Linked DNA regions of Xenopus tropicalis. The main gene of each other region encodes a partner of the protein of the gene in region 2 in a complex. Links are inferred from orthologs where the notes say so. Each region holds a gene or a part of one and is shown on either strand. Other genes may lie near its edges.

Region 1 (5,499 bases), about 100 Mb from region 2:
CTCTCTCCCCCCCTCCCCCCCCCCAGGAACAAGGGGATATTTTCCTCAAAAACAATGTGCTCTTCTACTATATGCCACCAAGTGGGAAAGGCTTCATAACCAGGGCAAAGGGGGATAAATGGCGCCATGTAAAGGCCCCTGTTTAATAGCCATGCTGCAGTCACTTGCTGACTCCAAGATGGCAACTGGAGGGTCCCTGGTTAACCCTCAGTAACCATGTATTTTCCCCGAATACTGGTGAAACCAAAACTACAGCATATTCTATATGGGGCCTTACCAGCGCTTTAATCTTCAATAAATGCCCCTTTTAATATAAGGGTATACCTTCCTGCTGCTGCCTGGCATGCTTGCTTCAGCCAAGTTTATTACCTACAACCACTTACAGGTCTTTCTCCATTATGGATTTGCCCAGCGCAGTCCCACTTAAAGAGTTTGCAATTGGTCTTCACTTTTAATTTTCTGTGTGTTTTTTTGTTTGTTTTTGTTATTTAAGCTTTTTGTTCAGCAGCTCTCCAGTTTAAAATTTCAACACCTATCTGCTGCTGGTGTCCAATTTACCATAGCAACCAGGCAGTGATTTGAATAAGAGTCTGGAATATGTATAGGGGAGTGCTTGGCCAGAAAGAGAAGTAATACAAAGTAACAAGTCTGTAGTCTCACAGAGCAATAGTATTTTGGCTGCCGGGGTCAGTGACCCCTTATTTGAAAGCTGGAAAAAGGCAGAAGAGGAAAGAAAATAATTCAAAAACTTCAAAAAAGTTGCGTGAAAGTATCGACCATTCTTTAACACACTAAAGGTTACCTTAAAGGTGACCCACCCCATTAAGGGTATAAGTGGCTGCATATTTTTACATCCCAGGTGCATGACATTTCTCCACATAAAGCACATCTGCCACTTAGCCGCCCAGATTGCCAGTTTGTCAATATCCTGCTGCAAAGATGCCACATCCTGGATGGAACTAATTGGGCTGCAAACACCGATACATTATGTACAATACCTTCCCCTAAGTCAGTGCTGTCCAACTTCTGTGGTACCGAGGGCTGGAATTTATCTGGCCTACTTGATGGAGGGCCGATAATGGAAGCCAGTTTTGACCACTCCCCTTTTTTAAACAACACCCACTTGAAACCACACCTATGTTATCACATGACCATACCTATATTAATAGTGTTAGTAAAGCAAAAACCTGCTATACTCTGCCTTCCCTCCTCCCAGCAGCTGATCAGCAGAGCAATAGGAAGGGAGCAAGATAGCAGCTCCCAGTAGGTATCAGAATAGCACTCAATAGTAAGAAATCCAAGTCCGGCTTGGGACTCCTCCAGTTACATGGGAGTAGGTGAAACAATAGGTTACCTGAAAGCAGTTCTAATGTGTAGCGCTGGCTCCTTCTGAAAGCTCAGACTCAGGCACAATGCACTGAGATGGCGCCTACACAACAAATATTACAGCTAAAAATACATTTGTTGGTCCAATAATACAATTTTAAATGGTAGAGTGAATTATTTGCAAACTGAACAGTGTAATATAGTTAAAACTATACCACAAAAATCATGCAGAATCCCTTTAATAAATTGAATAACAGGACCCAGTACAGTAGTTGATGGGGCAAAATCTGAATAGATTCCACTGATAAACTGGACAGCCCCACTGTCCAGCTTCTTACTAACCTCATAAAAAGCAATTAAAGAAGAGGGAGAGGGTTAATGGCTGGAGCCTGGGTTTGTATGTCTAACAGTCCATTGCATATTTCTTTTCAAGAGTGTTAGATTTTTTAACATTCAAATTTCATCCACAGAAATATAATGGGACTGACTGCTGGGGAGACGTAAGACCCACAGCGCTGTTATGAGCAGTGAGGTGGCCAATGGGAAATGCCTCCTAGCCATTGTTATTTTGGGGGTTTGCCTTGGATTGTGAGGGGACTGACAGTAGCCGAGGTCACAGTGATTTGCTTGATACCATCAGGAGGACAAGAAACGCTGCCCAGCTAGGAGATGTTACGGAAATAGCATTGTGTTCATTCTGTGCTCCCCCCCACATTAATCACATAGCATTTGGTGCTACCCACAGCATATCCTACAGGATTAGAAGAGGAATAGACTCAGCTGGTATCAAATATTCTTGGTTCCAGTGCTTTGGCCAGGCTGCCCTACTGAGCCTTATCTGCTTTCCCCTGTGACTGACAGCTAGGGCTGACTGACAGCTAGGGCAGGGGGAAGCCTAGGTATATATAAGACAGGGGCTCCACCCGTCCCCACTATAGCATCCCCCTCACTCTACAAGCTGGGCAGCCTCGCTATGGAGAACAAACGAGTGTTTTTTGACATATCCGCAAATGATATTCCCCTTGGTCGGATAGTGATGGAGGTAAGTATGTCCCACTGAGATGCACCAGTATGGGGTGGGAATCCGACAGGATTTTAAAGGGAATCTTATGTTTTCACTGAGGGGCTCTGATAGCTGATATGTACAGAAGCGTTTCTTTAAAGGGCTTGTTCACCTTCAGGGTTACTTTAGAATGTTATAGAATGGCCTATTCTTAGCAAGCTTTCATTTGGTCTTCATTTTTATTGTTTTTGAATTATTTGCCTTCCTCTTCCTGACTCTTTCCAGCTTTCAAATGGGGGTCACTGACCCCACGACCCTCAAACTGTTACTCTGTGTGGCTACAGTTTTAGTCTTATGGTTACTTTTTTTTACTTCTATTTCTATTTCAGCCCTCCTCTATTTGTATTTCTGTTTTTTTTTTCCAAACCACTACCTGGTTGCTAAGTGAAATTGGACCCCAGCAACCAGATAGCTGCTGAAAATCCAGACTTGAGAGCTGCTGAACAAAAGGCAAAATAAATCAGAAACCATGAGTAATAAAAAATGAAGACCAATTGAAAATTGTCTCAGTCGTTTAACCTGTAACCCTCCAGTTGTTGTTTAACTGCAGCTCTCAGCACTCCACTGAGGGGCTTGCAAGTCCCATCTACAGTATGCAGGAGAATAAGGCAAGATGTAGTGACATTGTAATATGATGTTGTTTAGGTATGAAACTGAAACAAGCATCATCCATCTACCCTATGTGAATGTCAGCCCATGGGCAAGTGTCCCTGTCACAGCCAGCAGGGAGCCCATATTGTCACCCAGCAGCCTGAATGCTGGCACAGCTCAGACTAATGTCCTGATATGCAGAGAGCGCAGAGCCGCTGATGTGACAAATCCAGGGCCACAGTCCATTTCTGAGGCGATGCTAACAGGGCAAATACCTCGCTTCTCCATGCAAGTGTATGGGTGGGATATTTTGGATGAGCGGCCAGCTGATTAAACAGAAGACTTACTTTCTAAACCTTATTAATCCCACCGAGTCGTGCTGGAGCCTGTTCTATCTCCAGTTTAGGCGTTACGGCCACTGTCCCCAAGTATACACAGTCCTTCCATGGGGCCCGTCACCTGCCCTGACCCTGGTGCCAGTAGCGGTGGGACAGGCTGGTTGAGGCATGTGTACTCCATATATATTGTTTCTTTTCTCTCTATATAGAAATATATGGCGTCATCATAGAACCAGACTTACTCTATATCCACATTTTGGCTGGAGTAAATCTCTGCATATTGCAACCAACCAGCAATTAGCTTTTATCAATTACAAGATCCTGATATCTTTAGCTGAGTCTGTGCTGCTGAACTGCACCTTCTAGTTGTGGTGAGGCCTTAGCACCCCTAGATCTGCAGTCTACACCATAACCTGCCAGTCCCACCAAACTGACTTGCTAAGAGCAGGGGGTCCAAATGCTTGTTGTTTTGTTCTTTCTATTTATTCTTCTCTATCCCTTTTGTCTGTAATGCCTGAGAAATACATGACAGCGCCCTGCATAGAGGAGCCAGCCCTGGTGTCCCAGACAGAGCCACACATGGCCATGCAGGGGCTAATGTTTCATATTTCAAATAGCCCATTGCATATTTCTGTTCCGGGAATGCAGGGGGTGGATGGATTCCAGACACCTGTAATCCCCACTCTTGCCTTTGTAGTGGCCGTCCCAGTTGGGGATGTACTGGGAGATAATCGCTCAGATGCTTAGTACCTTGCTTAGACGCCCTTGCCCTGCCAGAGGGAATCCAATCCCATCTCTGGGCCCAGGCATTTCTTCTATCTTTGTTTCATTCAGCTGCACGCCAACATGTAATGCTCCTAAGCCTGCTTGTGTCATATTCACTCACATGAAGGTGCAACACCATGTTAAAGATGGGGGGGGGGGGTGTCCATCTAAAGCAGGGGTGTCAAACTCAATCACATAAGGAAATCTAAAACACAGGCTAAGTCGCGGGACAAATTTTATTAATATACTTAGTAAGATACTAAGGGGTATATTTATCACAATGTGTAAAAAGGGGAGTAAGGCATTACCGGTGATGTTGCTCATAGCAGCCAATAGATGTTTGTTACTGTTGAAATCTGATTACTGATTGGATGCCTTGGGCAACATTACACTCTACTTTTTACACAGCATGGTAAATATACCCCATAGTTACTATGTGAGAAAATGGAAATTGATCAGGCTGGATGGCCAGACACACTCACCAAATGCCACATAAAACAGTCAGGTGGGCCGGATTTGGCCCCCGGGCCTTGTGTTTGACATATATGATCTAAAGGATTTGACATAAATCAGGGACATCAGTGACAGGACAAGTTCAGTGAACTTGCCAAAATCAGGGACCTCCAACAGCATCCTATGGCAGCACTTGATAGAAGTTGAAAGGAACCCCTGTGATGTAGGGGCGCAGGGCACATTCTCTTTCTGCCTTACCCTATAGAAGCCCATTGGGGAGTTACCTGCCTAAGGTACTGTCTTCTTGCCCATAATGGCTCCCTGTTCTCCTGACTTGTCTATAACGCAAGTGTTTTATCTGCTGTTTGTGGACAGATCAGTCATGAGGATTATGGGAGATTTAGACCAGAAGTGGGAGCCTGTGCTTGATATTGGGCCTGTTCTAACATAGAATCTTTCACACCCCAGCCCACAAGGATCGCTAACAAGGCTATTACTGAACTGCCAAATTGCGCCCGTGCTGCCATGCTATCCTTATTAACACTCATGGTGTAACTGCTTGGGGGGCCACGAGTGTGGAAGGACCAGAGGGACCCTGACTGATAAGAAATTTCTGTTTATGATTGTGAAGGAGCCTATGTGCCCAAGGTTTTATGGGGCACTGAATGGGTTTGCTGTAGAGCCCACTGACTTCTGACTGCAACACTGGCCCCACTGCATTGCCTTAGGGGAGAGCTTACACATAGGAGTAACACTGTGCAGTTTGCTTGTAAGAATGTTTTACGGATCAGCTGTGTCTCCAGTTTTATGAATTTGCCTATAGTATCTGCCTGTTAGTGTGCAGCACTCACACCATCTCCCATGGTGCCCCCCGTGTTCAGCCCCTAGTAATCCCACCCTAGTGTTCCAGTAGAAGACAAACACCCCATCTGCCAGCAGGCTGACTGCCAAAATATCCTCACG
Region 2 (4,767 bases):
ATTATTTTAGTAGAAGATAAAGCAGTTTTTTTTATATCAAGCACATGATTGTGGTAACATCCTGTTGCTTAGTTCTTTCACATCCGCTTCTTATTACACCCTTAAAACATCACAAATCATTTCAGGTTGTTTACCTCACCTTGTGCCTTAGTGCTTTTCCATAACATTCTCTAATATTACCTGCTTGCATGGTGTTTTTGACACATATTTAACATAATTCTGTTATTAGCAGCAGGTAAAGTATATTGCAACTATTGTATATATTGCAACTAATACATGTAGTTCTGTGTACCACTATAAGCGAAGGAATCAAGTCACTTCACGTTTGATAGGCGTCAGTGAACAGAAAAAGGATTGCACCATGTGGAACCATGATTACACAACTTCCAGTAACAGAATATTGTGTGTATACTTCTCTGACTTACAGGAATTTACAAGCTCAGGATCAGCGAATGCAGAGACTAACAAAGTTGCTGGCAGCTTGGAAACCAAATACAAATGGGCAGAATATGGCCTTACTTTCACAGAAAAGTGGAATACAGATAACACATTAGGGACAGAGATCACTGTAGAAGACCAGGTAAATATCCTAATTTGAGATAATTTAACTCTGGAACTTGTGAGTAAGATATGTCTTACAATTTAAATACATAATATGTTTTCTCTTTAGCTTGCAAAGGGTCTGAAGCTGACATTTGACTCTTCATTTTCTCCTAACACAGGGTAAGAAGAATCTGCACTTAAATAACTGAGAGTTTTTAATTATATACAGCCCTCCAAGGGGAGCATGAATTAGTAGCTGGGGGACCCAGCATGAAAGATTAGGGTAATTCCACATAGGGCTAATCAGGGGTGTAAACGTATTTGCTGTCCTAGCTATCCTTGTAACTGGCTGAATAATTACATTTATAGAACGTTCAGCATAATCAGATAACCAAAGGCCATCCACACCATCCAGTTCTTTTCAGTATCAAATTTGCCACTGACAGGCAACAGGGATGTTCCTAGATAGCATAGGTTTTTAGCTCATCTGGAACTGATTTGCCAGACTCCTTATGCTTGCTCAGCTCCACTGTAAATTTATAGGACTACTGTGAGTGAAAATAGATAGGCGTAAAGCTTACAAATAAATTATGCATGAGATCTAGGCAACATTTAAATCTGTATAGTGTAGTGGAAAGATGGCTGAAACTCTGTGTGGCTTTACTAGCAAGAGGTATTAATTATTTGTGTTATTATTAGTTACTGGTAGGATTACCTTTTGCTTTGATTTTCTGCCTCACACAACTTAGCAAGTTTTGCTGGGTTACACAAACACTTCAAAATATTGAAAAAACAGTGCATTTCACTGGGTTAAACTAATGTGACTTTGGCAAACAAAAAAGCTTTATCCAGATTTGATCCTCGCTGAATACTGGGGAGAGCTTTTGTGTAAAACTGATATGTATATAAAACATATCTTAAACAGGCGTGTAAACAGATGGGGTGGGGTGGGGGTGCATGCTTGACACCCTTGGTAGCCAAAAGACACTTCCTCAGAAGCATTAGCACCAAATTATAGCATTAGGAATATTTAGTAAGTCAAAACACACAATATATATTATAAAACAGATAAGGGAATCTATTCGCTAATAATAATTCCTAATACCAATTTATTCTTTTCTCAAACTATATAGAAAGAAGAATGCAAAAGTCAAGACTGCATACAAGCGAGAGCACCTTAACATTGGCTGTGACATGGATTTCGATATTGCTGGCCCATCAGTGCGGGGAGCTGCAGTGTTTGGCTATGAGGGATGGTTAGCTGGCTACCAAATGACTTTCGAATCCTCAAAGTCCAGAGTCTCCCAAAGCAACTTTGCAGTTGGATACAAAACTGATGAATTTCAGTTGCATACCAATGTGTAAGTCAAACAAAACATTTCTTGTATAAGCAATTCAGCACAATGTTAAAACTTTCACTGCTAATCCACATAAACATTTTTGTGATCTTTTACTTTTACCCTGTGGGGAAACATTTTGTTTTCCAAGAGATTTAGTTTGAGTCTACAATAGCTTGTAAAGGTAATGGTAATAATGAGAAAAATGGCAAATTGTGAAACACCCACAACGATGAACAATAAACAACAGTGCATTATTAATAATGTACTAAATATCCATGAATTCTAAATGTTATACTAATCAGCCAAGGAATTGCTTCTACTGTTGCGAGGGGGTGTGGACAATTGCAAATCATTTAGTGAAAAAAAGAAATAGCAAAACATTGTTGTGGTCAAATCATTGCCCTGACTATTATGAATGAATACAGGATTATCCTTTTATTATCTCATACTAATAAAAACAATTAGTGGGGCATTAACCCCCTTATAGGCTGCTGCTAGTTAAAGGTAACTAAAATAATACATTTTCAGTGACATATAAACCTGTATCGCAGAATTAAAAAAAATATATATATGACTATAATAAATATGCATATATTATAATATGGTTAAGGATTCTGAAATGATATGGGTTTTAACATACAAGGGGTCCTACTGCAGAGCATCTTATGGATTGTGTATATATATATATATATATATACTGAAACAAGCACAGCACTCCTAGGATTTAGGGTCTTATTCATAACATTCATGCACTTATTTTTTTGCCCACAATAGCATTTTTTATATTTTACATAATTAAAATAGACCAAAAAAACTATAAACAAAGACACATCTGATTTAGAAAGCCCCATATCTTCTAAGTGTAGCAATACCAGATATGGATAGTTTACCAAGATTCCTGAATGAGGTACCTGAGATATTTTTTTGCATTTGGTCATATCTAAGCATCATAGACATTTGACATAGACTTTTTAATAGAAGATAAATATTGTTTAGAGAGGTTGAACTTCAACCCTAAGTAACTTAGACTCGGCCCATATAAAGCTGACAATATAACGTATATACAACGCACATGTGCTAGGGTTCATTTCATCAGAAGAACTAACCTTTCTCATGTTTTTGGCTTGACCTAGAAGTCTGCACTAGCAGACCCAAATTTTGGTTTTAAAAAATGAAAATTTGGCTCTTAAAGTTACCAGAGGCGGCTTTTTGCCAACCCTAGTAACTGGCTGCTCACTGCCACCTGAGGCAAGGTTCTCACAGGAGCAGCCCAAATCAACCATTTATTCCTCCAGATTTTTCTGCTTCCTGGTAACTTACTTATATGGACAGGGACACCAGAGCAGCTCCATACCTGTGGAATTCATTTGCAGAGAACAGAGGCACAAAATACATTCTACAAAAAAAGTCCTCAGTTCCTGCAATGACATATCAGCCTTGCTGATCCTAATTATAAGTAACACGTTTTTATCTCAGTGAGAACCATTAACATAACATTTCACTAACATACCGATTTTATATGTTGTGTCTCGCATATCCCTATTTGGATTGTAAGCCCTACTGCATTGTGGGCCCTTTTGCATTGGTTTTTTATTGAAAAGTACAGATCATTTACAATGTTGCAGAAAATGCTGGCATGTTTTAAATTGTCCAGTAATAATAATATTTGTGGTATATTGCCAACAGAAATGACGGTACAGAGTTTGGTGGTTCTGTATATCAGAAGGTTAATGATAAACTGGAAACTGCAATCAACCTTGCATGGACAGCAGGAAACAGCAATACACGCTTCGGAATAGCAGCCAAATATCAAATCGATAGTGATGCTTCGTTTTCAGTAAGTACAAACAATGAAGCACATCTTCATAAACTTCATCAGTGGCAAACTAAAACTCTTCATGTTGTTAGGCCTACTGTATTAACTTCCAGAACTTACATGAACAGTTTGCTTTCATTTTTGGCCAAACCCTGGGTTGAGTCATTCATGACTCGACTTGGCTGAATATGTTCCAACCAAAGCCACACCTCTAAAAAATGACTTATTATACAGCATTGTATGTCTGGGCCTTTTTAACAAAGTAAAAGTTTATGTTGATAAGATTTGTTGGTTTTGTTAAATAAACCTGGACTTGAGAGGGATCAAGAGAGTAATATGTTTTGCCAAGCAAACATAAATTGCTTTTAAGCAAGCATTTCTGATTTCCATGTTCAAAGTGATACTCTTATAAAGGAAAAGGAAAGATACAATCACTGAGGGGGTGCAAAAAAGGTCTGGCACCCCTCAGTGATTGTAATCGCTTACCTTTTACCCCAGGCTGGTGCTTCTGTTAGAAGAAAACTGCACCAGCCTGGGGTAGTTGTGAGGGAGCGATCCTCTTCCTTCTTTCTTAATTCTTCTGAATCCTGGGGCCAGTGCATTTGCAGTAGGGTGAAAATGGCAACTTTCTTTTTAAAGTTCAACTTTTCACTCGAATGCATGTGCAAGCAGTAGAAGACACAGAAGAAGGAAGACGATCGCTCCCTCATGCCTAACATTTGGCATCCCCCAGTGCTTTTTACATTTCTTTTTCCTTTAAAGACATACAATTATGTTGATATGCAATGTTCTAAGTGGCTGCAGACAGGCAAAGGTACAGCAGCGTTTTTATTTGCAGCCACCCAGCAGTAGACTGCAGCAGCCAAAATACCCTAGCAGCTGTTAAATATGACCATATTCTATGACTAAGTTTTCCTTTTTTTAATGTATTTTTTTTTTGCAGGCTAAAGTGAATAATTCAAGTCTTATTGGTTTAGGATACACTCAGACTCTTAAGCCTGGTAAGTATTTTTTTTGTAAAACGTTAATAGGCCTTTTATATGGGACACACATTTACTGAAATGTGAC
Region 3 (5,454 bases), on a different chromosome or scaffold from region 2:
AAATTATTTTTCTCTCAAGGTAATTTTGCCATGTCCAGGCTAGCAAAATTAAACCATAAAAATACAGAAATCACACTAGAATATCACTATTTGTGTCATATCGCCACATACATCATTGATTTATGGATTTAGTACACCAGTGTTATTACACATCTAAATGGTAAAATTTTGCTTGAGCACTTATATGCTACCCTAAGTAATTTAAATTATATTGTTCACTAGGTAATAGAGCAGTGTTTTCTTATTTTTGGAAACATTATAGCTTTTTGAGCAATAGGGGGGCCCTTTACTAACCGGTGGATTTTTTTCCCAAGATTTACAAGATGTGAAAAAATGGCTAAAAATCTGAATCTGGCAATTTGCCAGCTAAAACTGGCTGAAATCATGTAGAAGTAGATGGCAGATGTCCCTTCCCTGGAGGATTTTTTTTTTGCTTCAAAAGTTTTGATGTTTTTGAATTTTTGACAGTTTTTTTTGTGTGACAATTCAAAAAAGAAGTATCTGAGGTTCTGAGACTTCTTGGCACATGACATGTTAGACTTTTTTTGTAAATTTCAGACATTCGTGGAAATTAGTTTATTCGAATTTTTAAAAAGAAACGTTAGAGTTTTAGTAAATCTACCCCTATGTGTAATTAATTCACATACTTTAACCATCAATATTTTCAGCACCTTATTCTAGCAATGATGTCATTATAATATTTAAGAAACAAGTGCCACTGTGAAAATATCCCTGCTGTATTGATGCTCTTTAACCAGGTTTACTGAGGTAAAAATTCATACTTTAACAAAAGTGCCTCTAAATGTTAACACAGAATAAAAGTCTCAAAATGCCTAGAGCAGATAATTGCCATCTTATTGACATGAGATCTCCTTTACATCTATTTGATAGACTTTCGGTGAAAAATCAAATGAAATAAGTTGGATAAGAGTAGCTTAGTCATCCTTAAGTGTAGATTTAAGTATAAGTATGAGTTCAAATCCCGAAATGGGAAAAATTCTGACTTTGATCCTTTGATGCATGTTTTTGGAAGCCTCCCATAGGACTCAATGGCACTCTGCAGCTCCAACTTGGCCAAAGGAAAGTCACGATAACGAAGCTTTAATGAATCCGAATTGCGAAAAAGTTGCGCAAATTAACAAAAAAGTCGCAAAGAATACGCACAGTGCGAAAACTATGATTTTTTTTTGTATTCGGAAACAATTGTACTTTGATGAATGTGCCCCTATGTGTATATAGCAGTGATCCCCAACCAGTAGCTCTGGGGCAACATGTTGCTCACCAACCCCTTGGATGTTGCTCTCTGTGCCCCCAAACCAGGTAGTTAGAATGAGTTTTGAATTCCTGACAAGTTTTGTTTCAATAAAAACAAGATTTACTACCAGATAAAACCTCCTGTAAGCTGACAGTGTGCATAGAAGCTACCTAATAGCCAATCTTAGCTCTTAATTTGTACCTCCATGAACTTTTATGATGCTTTTATTGCTCTCCAAGGCTTTTTACATTTGACTGTGGCTTCACATGTAAGAAAGGTTGGAACCCCCACTATACACCATATGAACATTAAGCACTTCTCCTGTTCACCAGACCAGCGCTTATGTTGTGATAAAACACATAGTTGATAGCCTATGCATTCTCTGGCTTTACCGTATCCCAAACATATCTTGGAAATACATATCACTGCACTTTTTACATGTCGACGTCTAGGAAACATATCGCACACATACGCGCACGCGTATAACGTGACACAGCTCTTGTGCGACCTTTGCAAATAGTATCACTGCGCCATTGATACAAGGGCCGGAGGCGGAACAAAGCTGTGGTGGGCGGGGTGCGGTGGGATTTCCTGAGCGTCGCTCTGGATGATAGGTGGATGTGCAGTAGGTCGAACCGGGAGGCCTTGCCTTTAGGTCACTGGCCCTACTCTGCAGTGAGATGGGCATTTTGTTGCTCGCTCTCCGGGGCCTTCGGCTCGGGTCTGCGGGATGTTGGCGGAAGGTTCCCCGTGCAGAGTGCAGCGAGTCTCGGATCCTTCAGGTAGTGTGCGGCAAAGCAGCGAGCGCACAGGCACCCAAACCTCTTTGACAAACAACGACTTAATTAGGTTTCAGTCATGGGCAATACAGGATGTTGGTATTTTTTTTTTATTCCAGTACGCCCGCAGTACTGTATATGATAGATGGTTTCAATAAATGCTATCAGACCAGTGAATTATTTTTTTGTCATTATTTCCTCTAGAAAAATTGAAATAGAAATGCAACCTGTAAGTCAGGGCCAAACCACCAGAAGGTGAAATTCAATAACTTTGTTCCTGAAAGTAATGTCAGTAATAATGTCAGCTCTGTATATTACTAGCAGGAGAGTCAGAGGTGATGTAATGTTATTAGTGGGATTGTCGTTCCCAGTACCCACCCACACTAATGTCATGCTAGGAGATATATCAACTTTTAGCAGCAACAACTTTTATAAGGTAAAAGTAGCAGTGAAATCACTTGCTGCTGCAGACCGCTGTAGCTGTCAAAGCTCCATCAAGCCTGATGTCCTGTCTCCTACCCAGGCCCCCGAGTATATAGTTATATGCCATAGATGCCCGTGATATAGAATCACAACAGTGATTGCTATCCTTAATGTTTGTTCAACTTTTATTATGGAGAAACAAAATGAAAGATTATAAATTATAATATGGTAATGGCTAGAAGATCCTATTAAAATGTACCAGTGTAGTATTTCAGTATATCCTTCAGTTTTCCTTGTAAAAAAAGTAGTCCTGGCCAATCTCTGTTACTTTGGGTTATATCATGCATGTTTACAATGCTGGCATATATGTGTTATTGAACTACAATTGCCTGCTGTAGTTTTCCAGCAGCATCTAGGAAGCCACAGGCTAGACATTCCAGATTTAATCTGGCCATGTACATACCAATAAAATCATACAATCATGCCATTTTCAGTATGTCTAATTTGGGGGAGATGACACCAATCAGTATATTTGTACTATGATTTCCATAGAATTGTCAATTAAATAGGCAAAAATGAATCTGTTGACCATTAGTCAGCAGATGGTATTCTGGCAGATAAGGAAATTGAGATGAATTGCTGCTGCTCCTCTTACAATCCTGTAGTGCCAATCTTTTAGGCTGTTGGCCTGAACAAATGGTAAAATAAAAAGGTGGCCATACCTGTAATATTCTGTTTGATTTGCAGGCAAGCCCTTACTGACAGTCTGTAGATTCTGACAAATACCTGCTATAAAAAAGCCATAGAGAGTTCCTAAGGCTGTTTGGGATTTTGTGTAATAGGAATTTCTGGATGTGTTTTAAATTTTAGTCTGGACCTGCTTGTCAGATCCTGAAGAGTATATGTCAGTGTAGGACCATCTTAAGGTACACATGCCTAGCTGAAATTGCCTGTGTATATTCTAAAATAAAATTTTAGATTTGCACTTTTATGTTACGCTTTTGATTATTTATTGTAATTGATGTGTAGAATGTTATACCTAAAGGAAAATCTCCTTACCATGCGTAACCTTTTTGCCTTATGAAATGACTGTTTGCAAATTATCACCCTGCTAGCATTTACTTACTATATATATCCTTATACATGTTTAAAGTACTATTTTTTTCTTTTAGAATTTACTGTGCCGGAATCTTACCCCAGGAAGTCATGGAATGAGAGAATATTTAATAAAACGGCATCTCATTCAGGACCCCTTGAGAATCTGGAGGATATTAGGTTATTAATCGTGATTATGTCATAATTACTATTTTCTGAAACATGATTCTGAATTTTCTGTTTCAACGTCATGTTTGCACACTGTAGTCTAGATCCATTCATTATTTCTGCTAATTTGCAGGTGGAATAAATTATTTCAGTACATCGGGTAGAGGAAATAAAGAAAATCAGAATGAAGGTTCCAAAGGGAAGACCCCACATGAGGATGAAGGTAGAGATTTTTTAAGGCTTGCAGGTGCATTCGATATAATATATTAAAGGTCCTTTTAAGGGCCCTTCTGCTTTGAGCTTAGGATACAATAGTCCTGGTGCATTTAAATGCATCTCTTATTTATAAAAGTGGTAAAACAGAGTCCCCCAAAATCTATTAGATGCTCAGTTTCAATTTTCATATGTGTATCATTGTGCTCTGCTTTTTTTTTTTTTGTGGAAAAATTTCCAGTTGTTTGCCACATTCGAAAATTGTGCAATTTTTGTTTTGACCATGTAAAATCTTTTATAAACCAGAGGAGAAGAAAAGAAGAGAACGGGAGGATCAGATGTACAGAGAGCGTCTTAGAACTCTTTTTATCATTGCTGTGATAATGAGTCTGCTGAATTCCCTGAGCAGCAGTGGTGGTAACATCTCATGGAACGACTTTGTGAATGAAATGCTGGCCAAGGGTGAAGTGATGCGTGTTCAGGTTGTGCCAGAGAGCGACATTGTGGAGATTTACCTATATCCCGGGGCTGTGGTGTTTGGGCGGCCTGTGAGTTATAGTTTAGTATTATTCTGCCTTCATTTAACAAAATAAAACAGGTTACAAATTGATTACCACACTGTTGAAACATGCTTCATCTTCCTGCATAGCATACTGTTGTAGTATGACATTGCCAACAGAATGTTTCACTCGCCTGTTTAAAGGACAAGGAAAGTCAAAATCAATTAAGCACACTATTCAATAGTACTACTATCGCTATGTAGAAACGCTATATTTCTGGCTTGCCTAGAGAAAGATTTACTGAGATACATTTACTACATACTCTTTTCAGTGAACAGCGCCGCCATCTTTAATAGGGATGCCCACTTCCTTTACCTCACTACTCTTTACTTCACAAATGCGTCCCCAGCCAGGCTTTGTCTGTCAGCACCCCCCTCCTGAAGCACTTGCAGGCTGTGTCTTTGTGATCCCACGCCGCCCCGGCCCCCGCAAATAACTGATCTGTATTTTTGGACTCATTCAGTCTTACATAAGTATCATCAGGCCAATATCAGATAGGGAGTTTTGTTTAAAATCAGCTCCAATGTTGGTGGCAAAATTAAAAATACCATTGAATTGAAAAGAATTGCTTTGGTTCTGAATAGTTTAAATTGTTAAAAACTGTGTAAGAAAACATTTTTGTGCAATAATGTGATACAGTTTATTCTTAATAAAGGTATAAGACCCGTTATCTGAAAACCTGTTATCCAGAAAGTGCTGAATTACAGGAAGGTCATCTCCCATAGGCTCTATTTTAAGAAAATTATTCTAATCCTTAGAAATGAATTCCCTTTTCTCTGTAATAATAAAACAGTACATTGTACTTCACCTATATCCTATTGGGTGTATTTAATGTTAAAATTATTTTTAAGTAGACTTTAAGAAGGGGGATCTAAACTAGGGAAAGAAGCCCTTTATCTGGAAGACCCCAGGTCCCAAGCATTCTGGATAACAGATACCATACCTGTACCAGGCTAATTTA

What was found.
Region 1: vdac1 (region 2) and peptidyl-prolyl cis-trans isomerase share a complex: the UniProt entries of both Homo sapiens proteins name them as parts of the mitochondrial permeability transition pore complex. The link is inferred for Xenopus tropicalis from reciprocal best matches to the Homo sapiens genes VDAC1 and PPIF.
Region 3: vdac1 (region 2) and spg7 share a complex: the UniProt entries of both Homo sapiens proteins name them as parts of the mitochondrial permeability transition pore complex. The link is inferred for Xenopus tropicalis from reciprocal best matches to the Homo sapiens genes VDAC1 and SPG7.

The regions. Positions count from the first base shown.
Region 1 is NC_030679.2:126,259,927-126,265,425, reverse strand, and holds the start of peptidyl-prolyl cis-trans isomerase, read left to right. Parts: upstream 1-2,163; 5' UTR 2,164-2,299; coding exon 2,300-2,368; intron 2,369-5,499. UniProt on the Homo sapiens protein: PPIase that catalyzes the cis-trans isomerization of proline imidic peptide bonds in oligopeptides and may therefore assist protein folding. Involved in regulation of the mitochondrial permeability transition pore (mPTP).
Region 2 is NC_030679.2:22,886,778-22,891,544, forward strand, and holds part of vdac1 (voltage-dependent anion-selective channel protein 1), read left to right. Parts: intron 1-427; coding exon 428-580; intron 581-670; coding exon 671-723; intron 724-1,676; coding exon 1,677-1,904; intron 1,905-3,569; coding exon 3,570-3,720; intron 3,721-4,642; coding exon 4,643-4,700; intron 4,701-4,767. UniProt on the Homo sapiens protein: Non-selective voltage-gated ion channel that mediates the transport of anions and cations through the mitochondrion outer membrane and plasma membrane.
Region 3 is NC_030680.2:58,785,408-58,790,861, forward strand, and holds the start of spg7 (paraplegin), read left to right. Parts: upstream 1-1,797; 5' UTR 1,798-1,935; coding exon 1,936-2,037; intron 2,038-3,629; coding exon 3,630-3,732; intron 3,733-3,853; coding exon 3,854-3,943; intron 3,944-4,239; coding exon 4,240-4,481; intron 4,482-5,454. UniProt on the Homo sapiens protein: Catalytic component of the m-AAA protease, a protease that plays a key role in proteostasis of inner mitochondrial membrane proteins, and which is essential for axonal and neuron development.